2 linked regions of the Arabidopsis thaliana genome follow. The protein of the gene in region 2 interacts with the protein of the main gene of each other region in a biochemical or structural test. Each region holds a gene or a part of one and is shown on either strand. Other genes may lie near its edges.

Region 1 (8,494 bases), on a different chromosome or scaffold from region 2:
TCTTTAATCGCTTTGCTTCAACTATGGCAGTCACAGCCATGCTTAGAATGTTGAACGCATGGCCTATCCCAACTCGTTGGAGCGGTGTGAGGTGCTTTCCCGTTAACTTTTGGTAAAATGGATAGAGAACCCTATCGTTGACTATGATAAATAGGCAAGTGGAGAGAAGTGTTATGACTTGGAGAGAGCCTGCAGGGATTTTGAAGCTAGGACCAAGCCTCCGGTCCATCACCAGACCTTGAAGAACTGTTAAGCTTAGTTGCATTGCGATTGGAGTGCTCAAGAATATTGTGGCTAAGGCGAGAGGGATGATTCTTATGACTGCTTTGAAATCTTCCACTTGTTGAACGCTGCATAGTCTCCATGGATTGCGAATTGTGCCATCTGGTTTTACCTCGTCTTCCTGTTTCAATGCTGCACGGTTAAAGAACCTGCGTATTTGAAAACTCATTAGAACGGCCTCTCAGTGCAAGAATGAAACTGCGGTTTTCGAGCCGGTTTTTCTACCTGAAACTCTTTGTGGGCATTGTGATTGATTCATTGTGGTAGTCTTTTTCGTTGGTGGAAACCACAGCTTTTCTTTTGCGTAATGCTGCGAAAATGACGCATAGTAGACTTGTGAAGGGACTTCCCAAAGGCTTGTCATGCTTGTAGAATCTTTTCCCCGAGACGAAAACCAAAAAACTGAAGAAATTAGCGGCTACAGACAGACCAAACCCAAGGGTCCAGCTGATATTGTCTTCGGTGTAGACAATGGCGGTTGCACTTATAGCTCCGGCTAGATATGTTGTGAAGAAAAACCAGTTGAAAAAGCTTCCTTGGTCTTTAGTTTTTTCATACTGGTTCGCACCAGCAGTTGCTAATGTGAACCGTGTCCCACCTGTTCCTATAGAGGCTAGAGTTATGGCCGTGTAAAGGACTCCGAGCTGGGTTTTCGAAGGAGACTGGCATAGTATTGAAGCTGTTTCGCAGGGTCTAGGTCTTAAAGTGTCAAGTGAAGCAGTTAGAGTCAGTAGAGCTACACCCTGGTCAAGAGTAGAATTAGTGAATTTCTGTTTCAGAGAGAAACTGATAAAAACAAATGTCAAGGACTCTTTATTAACTTTACCATAAGAGAAATGAAAGCTGAAACTGAGATAACAGGAATGGTTCCAAAGAAAGAGTCAGATGCAATGGCTGCAACAGCTGGAACCATACAGATACAACCACTAACAATATTAGCAATCTGAGCCGCTGCAATGCTCTTCACGTTGAATTCCTCGATCAGGTAGACGATCAAGTTAAGTAACCAACCCCACGCAGCTATTGTCAAGCCTAACAACGTAGCTGCACCATAGAAAGATAAGATAAATTCAACTTCTTCTTCCAAGCTCTAATGGTTATGAAGTTATGAGAAATATAAAAACAGAGAAACAGAATCTCTCACCTATCATAAACGGAAAGGTAATCCAACCTCCACCACGGCGTTTGGTGCTTGAATCTGCTGATATCGCTGTTTCTGCATCGCCAGTAACTGAACTAGCCATGTCTCAAAATCAAGCAGAAATCTTTCACTATTTTTGTCAACAATGGCCTGAAATTCTGAAACATATATACAGTATAAGTAATAATACAGCAATGATGACTTTCTCGGGTCCACGATATTTTATTCTCCATGCGCAGCAGCTTCAAATAAAGAAACATTAAGAAAGTAAAACAAAAACTCAAAGGTTTCCGTTGATGCAAGTTGAGCCATCACTGTCTGCTTCGTAACAGCCTGTGTGAAGACAACATTATTTCCAACCCAACGTTTTAGAAGTCAACTCTAAATTGTCAGACAAAGGATATTACAATATTACTAAAGAAAGACACATTTGTGCCTAATTATTGCTAAGGAATTGACCATTTCTACTTCAATAATGCAAGCTACCTAAAGCCAATCCCACTAAAATCTATTGAAAGTCATTGAATGAGAATAGACAACTCACGGCGACAGCATTGACTCTGGCTCTAGCTCTATAATGTCTCCCACAAATATTGAGGCTCTGTACATTACAAAATTATATTCTCTCTTCTCTTTGTTTACTAGGGAAGACTCAAGAGTATGTGAAGTAAAAAAGTCTATAGATATTCTTTAATAACTGGAGTACTTTACATTGGAGCTACACTTAATCACTAGCAGTAAATAACATGAACAAACAAATAAAAGTTACAAGATTACATATGTGGAAGAAGTACATGAATAAAAGAACAGGCAAAGATACTAAGTAGCCATTCGGATGGTTATTGGGTAATACCAGGCATTCACGGGGCTGCTGCACTTCTAACCGTATGTTGGATTGAGTGCTATGGCTTCTTGGTAGATCATCTCTTTTATCTGTTCCTCATCCAGAGGCTGTTGTTCGAACTCAAAAGAGAATGGCTTTTGACAGATTGGCTCATCATTCGGGTCGTGCAATTTAGCAAGGTACTGGTGATTCAGAGCTTGTTCAACTGCACAAGATGGTATTTTCAGTTTTTAATCAAAACATAGTGATGGTAAGAAAAACCAACAGAGAACATGTATGAAACTTACCAGTGATTCTTCTGTTGGGGTCAAACGTCAACATTCTGTCAACAAGATCAATGGCCATTGGGTTAACATGAGAGAAAAGTTTAGCTAAGGGCTGACGTGGGAAGTTGGGAAGTTGCCGGATGTATCTTTTCGCATCCTCATTGTGAGTAAAACCGAGATCAGATTCTGTCGGTGTGCCAAGCAACTGCAAGATTCAAACAAATTCATCACATATTCCGTGAAAAGGCAGAATCTTTAAACCATGCTAAAATTACATAACTCTCTAAAATATTTTACCTCTGTCAATAAGCGCATTTGATGAACATGGTCTTTACCAGGGAACAAAGGCTTTCTATTCATAAGCTCCATAAAGATACAACCAACAGACCAAACATCAATAGCAGCTGTGTAATCTGAAGAGTTCAACAGAAGCTCAGGTGCTCTATACCATCTCGTAACAACATACTCAGTCATAAAATCATTCTCTGAAGTAGGTCTAGCAAGACCGAAATCACAAATCTTTAAATCGCAATTCGCGTTCAACAGAAGATTGCTCGGCTTTAAATCCCTATGAATAATGTTAGCTGAGTGGATATACTTCAGTCCTCGAAGTAGCTGGTACAAGAAGTACTGTTTCCATGACAACAAAAACACCAAATCAAGTATCAGTTTCATGTCTCTTCTATCAAATATAAATCCCAGAAAAAAGCCAAGAACAGTTTTTAGTTTACCTGACAGTGTTCTTCTGATAAACTCTGGTTAGATCTGATGATTTGATGAAGATCAGTATCCATTAATTCAGTAGAGATATAAACATCACTGAACTGTCTTCTTAGTGGTGGTGGAACAACATCTCTTATAGCTATAATCTGTTGCAATACCAAATCAAAAAACCCTAATCATGATTTATTTACTAATTTCTACAGATATTTCACAAAATCGAACAAAAACACTAACGTTTTCATGATCAAGATGACGAAGAAGCTTGATCTCACGAAGCGTACGCTTAGCATCCATATGATTATCAAAAGCATTAGCTATCTTCTTCATCGCTACTAGCTCGTTCGTCTCCGTATCCAACACAGAGCTTCACAAAATCAAAATCCAGAAATTAAAAACTCCGATCTCAAAGAATAAAACTTAAGAAAAAGCTCAGAGAAGGAAACATACCAAACGATTCCATAAGCTCCACGACCAATTGGTATAATCGGAGGACGATACTTAGATGTGATCTCGAATAAACTACCGAAGATATCGTAACTTATGAACTGTCCTCCGTGAGTTTCCACCGCCGGAAAATCCGTGTATTGGCCACCGCCGGTGTTCATTTCTCTCTCAATTGATCAAAGTCGAGATTCAGTGGTTGCTTTGAGGTTTGAAGTAGTGAATCTGAAGGTATTTGTATGGTTTTATATAACAGTCGGAGTCAACAGAGAGACTGAGATTGAGGATTGAGCAGAGATGAGTTTTCGCGGTAATTGCGAGGAAGAAGATGAAGAAGAAGAAGAAGAGAGAAGAGGGAAAGGCAGAGAAGATCGTGTGGTTGAGATTAGAGCCGCCTCAAATCGACGGTTTCTGTTCGTTGTTGACTTCGTCAACGTTCTTCCTCTTCCTAACGTCCTTTACGGTTCTGTATCTATCTATCTGCCATAGTTAAATAATGACAATAATAGTGTGGGGATTTTAGTAATTGTAATCTTAATTGGATCATATTCGTTTTAATACGATCAATAAATTAATTAATATACTCGTTTTATTCGTTCAGGAATTAAAATTTTGTATTGTTTTACGTTACGTAAAATTATATAACACTCGTTTTAAGTATTGTATTTTATGCGATTAATTTATTATAAGTATTGAATATCATGTGTGGTTTACGATGGTTAATAATATTATTATTATATAGACTAAATTAGTTTAAAAACAAAAGATACTATTCAATTATGATTTTTAAGTAAGCTATTTTCGATCAGAATTTTTTTATTCTCTTCTTTCTCTAAAATTTTGAGAAAAAGAAAAAATTCTTTGTTTCGTATGCCTTCCCGTATGTTTGTGAGGTTGTGTTCGGACATGGTCCAACTTTTTGTTTCAATACCGTACGGTGAGTTCTAGTTATAGTTACCGGTAAATCCGGTTTTATCGTCGCCGTTCTTTGGTATTTTGCCTTTATTTGTCTTTATTTCTAATAAACTTATTAAGTTTCTTCATTACGAAGAAAAAGTGGAAGTTTAAGAGTTTCGGCTTCATAAGCCTTGTCGTTCAAATTTTGTAGTAGTTTCACTTGATGGGCATGGCGACGTTAAGTCTCACCGGAAAATCTTTTTGGTTGCTTACGTCATTGTGATGCTTCATGCTACTTTGGAATGGTGGACGCTTTCCTTCATATGAAAGAAAGTTTCGTTCGTTTGTTAAATCTGAGTTTAATTTCGTTTGGAAGAGGAAGACTAGATGTGCAATTTCTTTAGAGGGTCTTCAGTGCTCTACTTGAAGCTTCTGGTTTTGCGGAGTGAACGAACTTTCGGTGGGTAGGCGTTCTTCGATCTCAGAAAACATGCCGGCAGTGGTTGGCATTCTCGACAAACACGTTCTTCTCGTCACGTGTCTGTGATTTCCTCATGAGGCGACACATGTCTCTGTGTTGTATGGCTTTCTTATCCCTTCCTCGATGGGTTACTATATTGGGCTCGGTTTGACTTTTGTTGTTGGACTTTTGTTTTAAGAAGGCTTTGTTTTAAGAAGAAAGAGATAGCAAAATAGGCAAAATCTCTATTTGCGCAAATTGGTTTTGGAGTTGAGAAGCGGATCTTTGTGGTTACTTTTCGTTAGGATATCTGTGTAAGAGGGCCTTGCAGAAGTTTTGGATTGATTGGATTGCACTCATGGCTCCATCAGATCGCGTGTTAAGTGTAAAGGTTCCCCGAATGGGGATTAAGTGAGAGATTCAGTTTCTCCCTTTTTAGTATCTTATTTTCTTTTGAGATTTCTGTAAGATTTACTCTTTCAATAGTTCATTGTTAGTTTACAAATTTGATTCGTCTTTTACCGACCAACATATACCATTTCATTTCCAATGAAAGCAGACAAGATAAAGCAGAACTTGCAGATTATGAAAATGTTCAATTCTGAGTAGATGAAAATTAAAGGAGATTATCTATATGTGTTTGATAATTTAATATCGTAATGCTCATTAGCCTATCGAATTCTGTAAGTGGAGTTTTCCACTATTGTAACACTTTGTTGTTATATATCAAAGCCAACACTTATGAAGAAAAAAAAGTAAGCTATTTTCGAGTTCGAACAAGATATTAATATTTAGTTTACAAATTCCTCTAAATAATCGTATGCGCTATATAATTTATGTTCCAACATTATCGTTAAAAATATTGATTTTGTTATGAAATTTATTTAAGTTAGAGTTCTATTTATGTTAAGGAATAACGATGCATCGTTAAACTTCACTGGATTATAACCTTCTAAAACTATTCCAAAGTCATCTAAAAGTGATTTCAAATACTTAACCTTATCAAAACAATGATTGTTTAAATTAGTTCTAAACTTTAAATCGAGTACTTCCTAGATGGACAAACGAAAATCATTAGGTACGGGCAAAATCGAAAGCTTATAAAGAGCTTCCAAATGCATGTGGATGATATTTCCCTTATGAACACTCTTTTGAAAAGAATGGCCTAGTCGTTTATTCCATTGTTCATCTGTAGAACGTTTAAAAGCTTGAAACTTGTGGACTGTTCAAAGGTTTTGAAGCAAGTCTCCATTGCAACAACTTAAAATGAGTTCTTCTTTGTTACATAAACTAATGATGCATGAGTGTGTTCTATCACTTTGTTACTTTTTCAGCTTAAAATAGTTTATCCCATATTCTTTTGCTTATTACTTTTTTTAGCTGTATTTTATTTTGAACATTGAGTTACTCTTAGATACAAAGATATATATGAAGGATAGTATTCGTGTATGTTTATGTTTTAATTTACGAGTAAAATATTTTCTGAAGTCACATGTTTGAGTTTTGTTGTGTACAGTATTCTTATTTGTAATTTGTTCTTAATCCGGTACTTAGATCATCATAATTTATAGAAAAATAATTATTTTGATGAAATTTCATTGTATTAGACGATTAGTTTTATAAAACTTGTAACTAAATTTCTAAATTTTTAGATTTATTTCCACATGATTTCTGAAAATATCGGATATGTAGAAGAACAAAAATTAAAATATAATCATTGGGTTGAAATAAAACCACCACCAAATTAAATCAGTCTTTAACCGACGCCAACCAAAAATAATCGAACCGGAGATAGTGGCAGATCCGTAATAAACTAATAATCTAAGGGCATAGTTAATTCTTCTTATTAGGCAATCGTGGATCTAGAAGCGGCCAAAATCTCAGCCATCCAATCTCTCTCACTTGTTGTCTCTTGCAATCTCCCACTTCTCTCAATCTTCTTCATCTTCCACAATCTCCGATCGAATCTCTCTACTCAGCCGTATGTTTTCACTTCTCTCGTAATTGACTCTTTCATGTTGGGATTTGAATCGCCGAATCTCAAAACCCTAATTCTGGTGTTTCGATTTTAGTTCCGGAGTAGTTATTGAGATCAACGTGTTTACTGATTCCGATTGTATGTAGAAATCTCATGGAGATTTTGGATTGTCGTCGATATGTTTTTTTTTCGATTGTACTGTTTCGTTGACGCGTCTCTTATTGAACCGTCGCGTCCCATGCACGGATTCATTATGGACTTTGGCTTGTTAGATTCTCGATTTCGATCTGAAAGTTTGATACTTTGGATTAGTTTAAGATTTGCTAACTCAATTTTATTGGATTAGTGTATAATATTAGTTTCTTTGATCGGGAAGATGTTCAATTTGAACTGTTATTAGTAAAACTGTCGATCTTTTTATTCTGTGCCACTATACACGAATGTTGCTGAATTACTAAAGTTTAGGTAGTTTTGTCAGTATGGTTTGCTTTTGCTTGTATGTCTTATGATGAGACATGATTCCAGTCTTTTTATCTCTGTCTTGTTCAGGAAAAAAATGAGTGATTACGGTGAAAAGACTTGCCCTTTGTGTGCTGAGGAGATGGATTTGACTGACCAGCAATTGAAGCCTTGCAAATGTGGCTATCAGGTCCAGACACTCTCTCTGATTTTCATTGTTTTTTGTGATCAGGATTAAAAATTAGGTTCAGTTGTGCTATGGTTTACTTTGAAGGCTTGTGGTATATACTTAGAGCATACCAATTTATACTTATTGTGGTGGCCTCAGAGATCATTGACATTTGTTCTGCTGATAATTTTCTGATCTGATATGTATTTACCTACAATCTTACAGATTTGTGTTTGGTGCTGGCACCATATAATGGACATGGCAGAGAAAGATCAATCAGAAGGGCGCTGTCCAGCTTGCCGCACTCCATATGACAAAGAAAAGATTGTTGGGATGACTGTTGATCAGGAGAGGTTGAGATATGATATGACACCTGAGATGTGAACTTTTGTTCAGTGTCAGTTTTAGTTTGCTGATGTTTCTTATCTATTTTCTGTTCTCAGACTGGCCTCTGAAGGCAACATGGATCGCAAAAAAATACAAAAGTCGAAACCGAAATCTTCTGATGGGAGAAAGCCACTAACAAGTGTCCGAGTGGTTCAAAGAAATCTTGTTTACATTGTTGGATTGCCCCTTAATCTAGCAGATGAAGATGTACGTCATTTTTTCCTCGAAAAACCTGTAATTATATCATACGATCTGCTTAGTTACGGCCTTACGGGAATTTTTCTTTTTTCTTTTCAGCTTCTCCAGCGTAAAGAATATTTTGGTCAGTATGGAAAGGTTCTAAAGGTTTCGATGTCCCGAACAGCAACAGGTCTCATCCAACAGTTTCCTAACAACACATGCAGTGTGTGAGTTTTGTTTTCTAGTGTCAATCAACCAAATTTATCG
Region 2 (7,484 bases):
CCAAATTGTGTACCACCTACATAAAGTTCGAATATGCAATTAGGAGCACGAAACACAAGAATAACCAGCAACAGAACTGAGAGATTTACTCTTTCAGATCATAGAAACGGGATTACCAATCTTACCAGAAAGTTTCTTGGAGTTTCTTCCTGGCCCTGGAGAAGATCTCTGACGTGCTTCAGCCATAAGTTTCCATTTTGAAAACCTATCATCTCCTCCAACGGCTGCACGAACAGCAACATTTGCAGCCTTGGCTCTCTCTTTATCTTCGTCCTTCTTATTTGCCTGACTTGTGATCAATAAACCTCTTTCAGTGTACGTATGTGTATATCTCCAAAGGTTTAGGTAGTTGGCTCAAGTTCTAAATACCTTCACTTCGTTTGAACGTTGGTCTTCTTTTTCAGTATCATTTTCTTTGTTCTACATCAATGAATATACAAAAAAAAAAAACTAGACATTACTACTGATAACTAAGACAAATAGATATTAAGCTCAGGACAAACCATTACCTTTTCTTCTCCAGAATGTTTCTTTTCCCATTCCTCTTTCACCTTCTGATTCATTTCATTAATTTCTTTCCGGATATCAGATGTGATAAAAGTCCGATTTCTACACTTCTCTGCATCAGTCCGCTGCAAAAGCTCTTGTAACTTCAGAAAGATTTAGGTACAACAAGATCTAAGGAGGCATGAGAAGAGAAAGTAGACTGACCTGCTTTGATATTCGTATTATATTAAACAGTAGTCCTCGCATCCTCTCCTCCACACACTGAATGCGCAAAGCCATGAGAAAAACGAAAACAAAAACAGGAAATTGAAGGCTAATAATTCCAAGAAAAGGTGTTAACATCTCACCAGAGACAAGCACCGCTCTACATCATGGTCTATATGCTTTAAACCACTTTTTCCCACTGTCATATATGAAAGCATACATAAACTTCTTCTCCAAGTGATTCCAAGTAAGGACCAAAGAAGCAGCTAAGATACGAGTTGAAACACAAACTAATTTCTGTCAGCTTTCTCTGCAGTGGAATTTTCTGCAAAAGCGTTCTTTCTTCCTCTCCATGCACAAGTCTTCGATATGCTTTAGAAACACGATCGTTCTTTTTAGGACCAGAATCTAATAATTGTTTTTCCTCTTCCTAGAACAGATGCAGAAAGTAATTTGGTTTATTGTTTCTCTATATCCAGGTTCAAAATGAGAAGTGTAGCAACTCGTAAACATACCCTGAGATTGATGCCACTGACTGCAGTGACATCATTAAACTTTTCAATACTTTCATCTGAAGAAGTCCCACATATTTTTTGCTTCTTTCTGTATATTAAAAAATACATAAGACTTCAATTTAGCAATTCTAAATTGTTAGTAAGGTAAAAAGGATATTATCAGAAAAGCAAAGAAAAAAGGAAGAGTAATTTATGGACGCTGTAAGTAGTTCATCTTTCACAAACCAGCCAGCTCATTACCTTGATGGTGGCAGCGAAGAACCTAGTGCCTCAAGAGGTTTCTTCTGACCAACAGAAGGCATTTTGGGTGTCACCGTAACATTAGCAATCTTGGGAATGGTCTCAGATGGGGCAGGCATATTAACCTGAAGTGTACACAAATAATTTTCACGTAAGATAGATAGTCCATTTACTCTTCACAACCAAAGTTCGAAGCCAGTACAAGGAGAAATAGAAGCCAGGGTGGTCCAAAATATAAGCAAAACGAAACCAAATGCAACATCGGTTGAAGAGAAATGGTCCCCCTATGAGCTTAAAGAGAAGATCAACCAAATTGAAATCTGTCTTTTGAAAGTATAATTTATAAGTTACCATCGTGCTAGAGTCCAGCTGTGTTGTCATTGAAGGAAAAACAGAGCTGGCAGAAGTGGTTGATGTGAATAAACCCATTTTAGAAGACTGCTTCTCCAAGTCATCATTTGAACTAATTGGAATAGCATTCTTCTGTTTCAGTGGAACATTAGTCACGCCTTGCTGCACCAAATAACGAGGTTTATGTGCCTGTTCAAAACTTTGATCAATCAATTTATGCTCCACATGGATCACTGATGAAGAAGGTCCCACTGTATGGTCCTTGGTGACTGATCCTTGCCAAGGAGCAGAATATAGAGGAAAGGATGAGTTCTTTGGGAAGTCGGATATAGGACCATCCTGAACCCTACTTGGACCATTTACAAAAGTTGGCCTCTCAAACTTGGGTACTGTCGTCATGTTTATTGTAGACTTGGTTGGTCCTCCAACACTGGCTATTCCCACATTCTGATTGTTTTCCCTATGCTGGAAATCAGGGAGCTTTGCTCTCGATGATGAACCAGGAGAAGTGACATTTGTCCCTGGGTATGGATTAAGACTTCCAGATTTGGTATCCATATGAAAAGAACTTGATGGAAGCTGCATGTGTTGCTCGGGATGCTTATTTAATCCCTGCACAGTAGTTGAACTGTTTAAGGTGCCTGAAGTTGTAGAAGACAGTTGGTTAACATGAACTTCACGAGGATCAGATTCTTGAGCAGTGAATTCTGCAGTTAATGATTGTATCTGGGATTAGTTTTGTATGCTACAAGGAAATCATAAGATAAGATCTACCAGAAAGTTAAGATGATCTATGATAATTGCAAAAGTAAATGGCATCAACTAAATAAGTTATACCAGCAGATTTAGACACTTTGTCATGGTTTGAGCGTCCAGGTACTTTGATCCCCATATTTCCCTGGTTACACATACAGTTCATTCTGAAACCAGTAAGCCACAATTCCAAGACAAGAAGTATTCAGCTTATACTATTAAAGTGAGAATTCTTTATGTTATTTCCTTTTTAATAAGGTTCAGAAGTGAGATTTCTTTCTCAGCACATGTTCATATACAGAGAAGGAAGCATATAAAACAAGAAACTCTCTTGGAGGCTGCTAAATGAAAATCATTAAAGTACTTATAAATGCTAAGAAAATGGAAAGGGTAATACCGGTTTTAACTGAGGCAGTTGGCTAATTACCGATCTGATTATCTGATCACCTACAAGATCTCTCAGTTGTCGCATGAACTCTTCCATTGTAAGTTCTTTTCTCTGCAATCAAGTATGAAAAGAAACGTAATGTATTAAGAAACTTCGATCAGAGTGCCAATTCATTCATGGATGTAAACTGTAAAGCCACACCTTGAGTTTATAATGCAGGTTAAGACAATGCGTCTTTTTGCCGGGTTGGTGGTCTACCACGGTACGAAGCAAATCAGTAACTCGTGCTAATCTAAGATTATGATTCACAGGGTCAACAGTCTTTTCCACCCAAGGAGTCTCTTTGCTACTCATCTTCTGCAGTTTCATATACCGAGGTTGCGGTTTTTCTGATTCATTACCAGTAGTATTGTTTATAGACTTCAAGTTACTTCCTTGGGGCACATGAGTTCAAGCACCAAAATCAATTATGAGTATGCTCTAATATTTTTCTATGACTAACCGTCACTAAAGCATCATCAAGAACTAACAATCTAATTGCATCCATCAACATTCAACAGTTAACATCAAGTGAAACATGAAGATACATGACAAACCACAAAAATACGACTCGTGAACCTAAATCACTAAAGAAATCTAAAGGCATTTCCCTGTTTTGATACATTCCACAGTTTCGCATATGAATTTTAGGGTCCAAAACGAACCTTCAATATCTCGAATCAGAGAGTCCTGAAACATTTGCAAGTCATCTTCCGAATGCTTAGAGTCAACCTAACGACACGATTAGCGGGAATCGACATTTAGGAGCTTCGTCCACAGAACAAGATAGCGCGTGGATTTTCGCAGACAGTACGGAAATGAAAATGAGAGTGGGAAATTCGAAACCTAACCTCTTCGTCTTCTTCGAGGAGCTTGACAATGGAGAGATCCATGGAGGAATCTCGCGGTACCAAACGTCAATAGCTCAAAACGAAGAGGGAATTTTCAAGGAAACGATTTGTTGTATCCAATAAGATTCCAAATTCCGCAAGTTTTTATATAAAGGGAGATTCTGCGAGAACACCGTGTCGTTTTTTCTTTTTGATAAAACACTGCGCGCCGTTCTGTTGATCTTCTTTTCGGTAGTTGTTTCTTTTGGATAAAACACTGCGCGCCGTTCTGTTCTTCTTTTCGGTAACTGGGCTTGTTCTTGTATATCAAAATTTATTTTTCTTGAATATAATGTTGGAGTTCTTAAACAGTTATTCATATTAGCATCAGACTTTTGCAAAAAAAAATTAATTAACTTTTAGATGAATTTTGATACACGTTTATGACCATTGAGTTTTGGACTTCCCGTAGATAATTCACCAAATTAAAGAAGGGATTATCTACGTTAATTAAACAGTGCTACTAAAGAAAACAAACGACCCGTCAAGAAAGGCTTTTTTCAATTGAAAGTTACGGTATTCTTTTGGTAAAAGAAAAATGAAAGTTGAGTTTTCTTTGGCAGTCTTCCGTAAGATATCACAACTCTTTTTATTTGCTTAGAGCTTTCCAAAATATAAGAAAGAACAATATGTGGATGGTAGTAGAAACTAGAACGTTCTTGATTATGCTTAATTGTGTTATAAATTTTTTGAAAAAAACAGAACCAAAAACAGAGTTGTAGTGGTGTCACTTTATGCTTATTCAGATAAAAAAAAGACTCAACGCGTTTGTAAAATATGTGGTAAAGAATCGGTTTAATAATTTTTAAAATGAAAGAACAAGAAGAATTGGAATCAGTCAAAGTCCAATTTGGTATGTACAGTCAACAAATTCCTACACAACTCTCAACAGTATACAAACGAAATCTTATCGTCTAAGTAAATTTCCTTAAAGTTGAAGTTTGACCGGAAAGTCAAACCGAGGCTTCTTCGCCGGCATAGGGCTCATGACTTCGTCGTCTCCGTTGACCATCGAGAATTCAGGGATCGGAGGGATGTTGAGGTCAAACCCACGGTGGCTACTGCTAACGTGGCTAGTGGACCCCGCACCTTCGGAGTTGGACACGCTACTAGTGTTGATGTTGTTGTTTCCTTCGTAGTGGCACCGCTTGTGTCCGCCGAGAGCTTGACCGGAAGGAAAAGACTTGTTACAGATGGTGCAAACGTGTGATTTCCCACTTCCAGTAGTCACGGCGGATGTGGTTGTCGCCGACGAGGTTGAATGATCATCTCCTCCGCCGGAGAGAGTCTGTGATAAGTTCTTACGGTGGCTTGCCTTGTGACCACCGAGAGCTTGGTAAGAAGAGAACGTCTTGTCGCAGACGCTACACTTGTAGCTCAACTTCTCCACCGCCGGAGGAGGAGGAGGCTGACGGTTGTCGCGAGCGAGAAGCATGAGGCAAAAAGCTAGATACTCTTCCTCAGTGAGGTTTTGGTGGTGGAAATCGGATCTTGATCTCTTAGATCGCTTACCCTTTGTCCAGTGCTCGACTCCATGGAAGACTGAAGAATCTTCGAACAAAGGAGGAATCGGAGAAGCTAATCTTGGTGATGTAAGAGCCTCGAGCGCCATTAAGTTAAAGATTCTGAGGATTTCTTGTCTCTCGAGTTTTAGTTTGAAGGTTGCTTGTGAATTGCAGTGAAGAAATTGTTTAATTGCTGAAGAAGAAGTAATGAAAGTGTGTGTAAATATATAGTAGTAGGTGGAGTGTGGAGAAGGAAGTTGCGTGACAAGTGGTAGGAAAGTGTGAAGAGTGAAGGTGGCGATTAGATAATTACTATATTTTTCTAAAACTCTTTTTAATATGCGGACCAAAGTTGTGATGAAAGTATCTAGATGTTTTTTTGGGGGTAAAGAGAGGAAAATAATTAGGGCACGTTTGGTTTGACCTAGTACACGTGTGTGTGTGTGCAAGTGGTGTTGGTAAAATGAAGAAGAGGTCGGCTATAAGACTTTTCCTTCATTACTTAGTTTACTAGTACTGATGCCGCCTTACAAAATATTCTAGAGTTTCTGTGGTTTCTGGTCGTTGTCATGGATGGTACTCGTATGGTACACGTTTCGGTTTACTTTAAGATAGATAGATAGTTATAACTTATAACAACTAACCAGTTGACAAAAAAAGAAAGAAAGTCTATAACAACTAACCAATATTGATTTGGAAAGCATCTTCGGAAATATCTATCTACAAGATCAATTCATTTCGAAAACGTTTTTCTTCTTCTTACTTTTACATTAGAAAATTGAGCCATCACTTAAATTAGGTGATATATGTAAAATAAAACGTTGGCTAGTTTTAGACTTGCTTTGTCTAAAGAAACAATTTAATGGTTCGACCTTGCTCGATGGTAAAATAAATTCTAAAACAGCCTAAAAGAAAAATATTCGTCTGATATTTACCTGTTTTTTTGGTTGGGTATGCAACCATCAACCATGATTAAAGAGAGGAATAAGAATCTAAATGCGGAAATGTATGTATTACCACTCAAAGCTTTTGAACAGTTATTCATATTGAAAAGGTGGAGGTAATTTAGGACTAATAAGAGGTCTGAGACGGTGCATGACTATTATAAAAGAAGACTATTTCAAGTTTCCACAGTCAAATAAACAAAGCTAAATGCAAGGAGCCAACATTTTTGGTACAACTATACTAGTGATAGATTAATATTATATTTATGACAGTAAGATGTGGGAGACGAACTACATTTGACTAAAACAAAGAGCAACGACATTTGACTTCTTCACGCGGCGCTCTTCAAAGTTCAAACCGGACGGTTTACTCTTTATTTGACGCAAACAGTTAACCGGAAACAGCTAGTGTTACACCAAATTTGGTGTGATATTGCATCACACTCATGTCACTTTTTAGTGTTCTTTGGAAAAGTTTTTTAGTGCAAAACTTTACTAAAATGATGTTTTAATTAGTGTCCCACTAGAAATGACTTAGAATAATCTGAAGATGATGGACCTAAAATTCAGATTACTGAATTCTCTGGAAAATCACAAAATTTCATCTTGAACAAACGGGGATATTTATTATTTTTAAATATTTTCTGTAGTAATTTTTTGTGTAAGTTCTTCTAAATTTTATTATAGTTATTGATAATCTAAATGTAGTATATTTGAAAAGTCATAAATTAAAGGAGTTTTTGGTAACACGTTATCCAAATAAAGACAATAATACGGATTTTATATAACGCGTCAAGAAATATGTATACATATATTAATTAAGCAATTGGATGTATCTGCTACAAATTCTCATGGGAGGCTGATGTAATCATGATATCTCGAATTTGAATTTTACTTTCTGCATTATAAAACATGTGTGTGGATTACTAAAGTGTCGTCGTGGTATTCATCATGTTATGTATGGATTGGATCCAGGTTCAAAACAGTGCACGTAAGACACATTTTGATGTGTATATAAAGGAAAACATGAAACTTGTGAGGTGGATATATGTGATGCAGAGAACCAAAAATGTATCTGTCGGCGTGTCATCATGCATGGGTCACGCATTGCCTTCTGGATAAAGAACACTCTCACTCACACCAAACTT

The links.
Region 1: the proteins of STZ (region 2) and MPK3 form a complex in vitro, tested with the Arabidopsis thaliana proteins (one study listed by BioGRID).

The regions. Positions count from the first base shown.
Region 1 is NC_003074.8:16,752,285-16,760,778, reverse strand, and holds MPK3 (mitogen-activated protein kinase 3), read right to left. Parts: upstream 4,209-8,494; 5' UTR 4,187-4,208; coding exon of another isoform or gene 3,995-4,186; 5' UTR 3,862-3,994; coding exon 3,704-3,861; intron 3,621-3,703; coding exon 3,491-3,620; intron 3,403-3,490; coding exon 3,265-3,402; intron 3,164-3,264; coding exon 2,831-3,163; intron 2,739-2,830; coding exon 2,555-2,738; intron 2,473-2,554; coding exon 2,303-2,472; 3' UTR 1,905-2,302; downstream 1-1,904. Other genes in the region: NAXT1 (nitrate excretion transporter1), read right to left, coding at 1-431, 508-1,025, 1,109-1,326, 1,427-1,526; AT3G45645 (uncharacterized protein), read left to right, coding at 3,995-4,186; AT3G45630 (RNA binding (RRM/RBD/RNP motifs) family protein), read left to right, coding at 7,589-7,681, 7,886-8,013, 8,104-8,254, 8,345-8,454. UniProt on the Arabidopsis thaliana protein: Involved in oxidative stress-mediated signaling cascade (such as ozone). Involved in the innate immune MAP kinase signaling cascade (MEKK1, MKK4/MKK5 and MPK3/MPK6) downstream of bacterial flagellin receptor FLS2.
Region 2 is NC_003070.9:9,643,487-9,650,970, forward strand, and holds STZ (salt tolerance zinc finger), read right to left. Parts: upstream 5,838-7,484; 5' UTR 5,500-5,837; coding exon 4,816-5,499; 3' UTR 4,535-4,815; downstream 1-4,534. Other genes in the region: TAF4B (TBP-associated factor 4B), read right to left, coding at 1-16, 126-285, 370-420, 510-632, 712-768, 855-910, 1,003-1,141, 1,227-1,314 and 7 more. UniProt on the Arabidopsis thaliana protein: Transcriptional repressor involved in abiotic stress responses. Can repress the stress responsive genes DREB1A and LTI78. Probably involved in jasmonate (JA) early signaling response.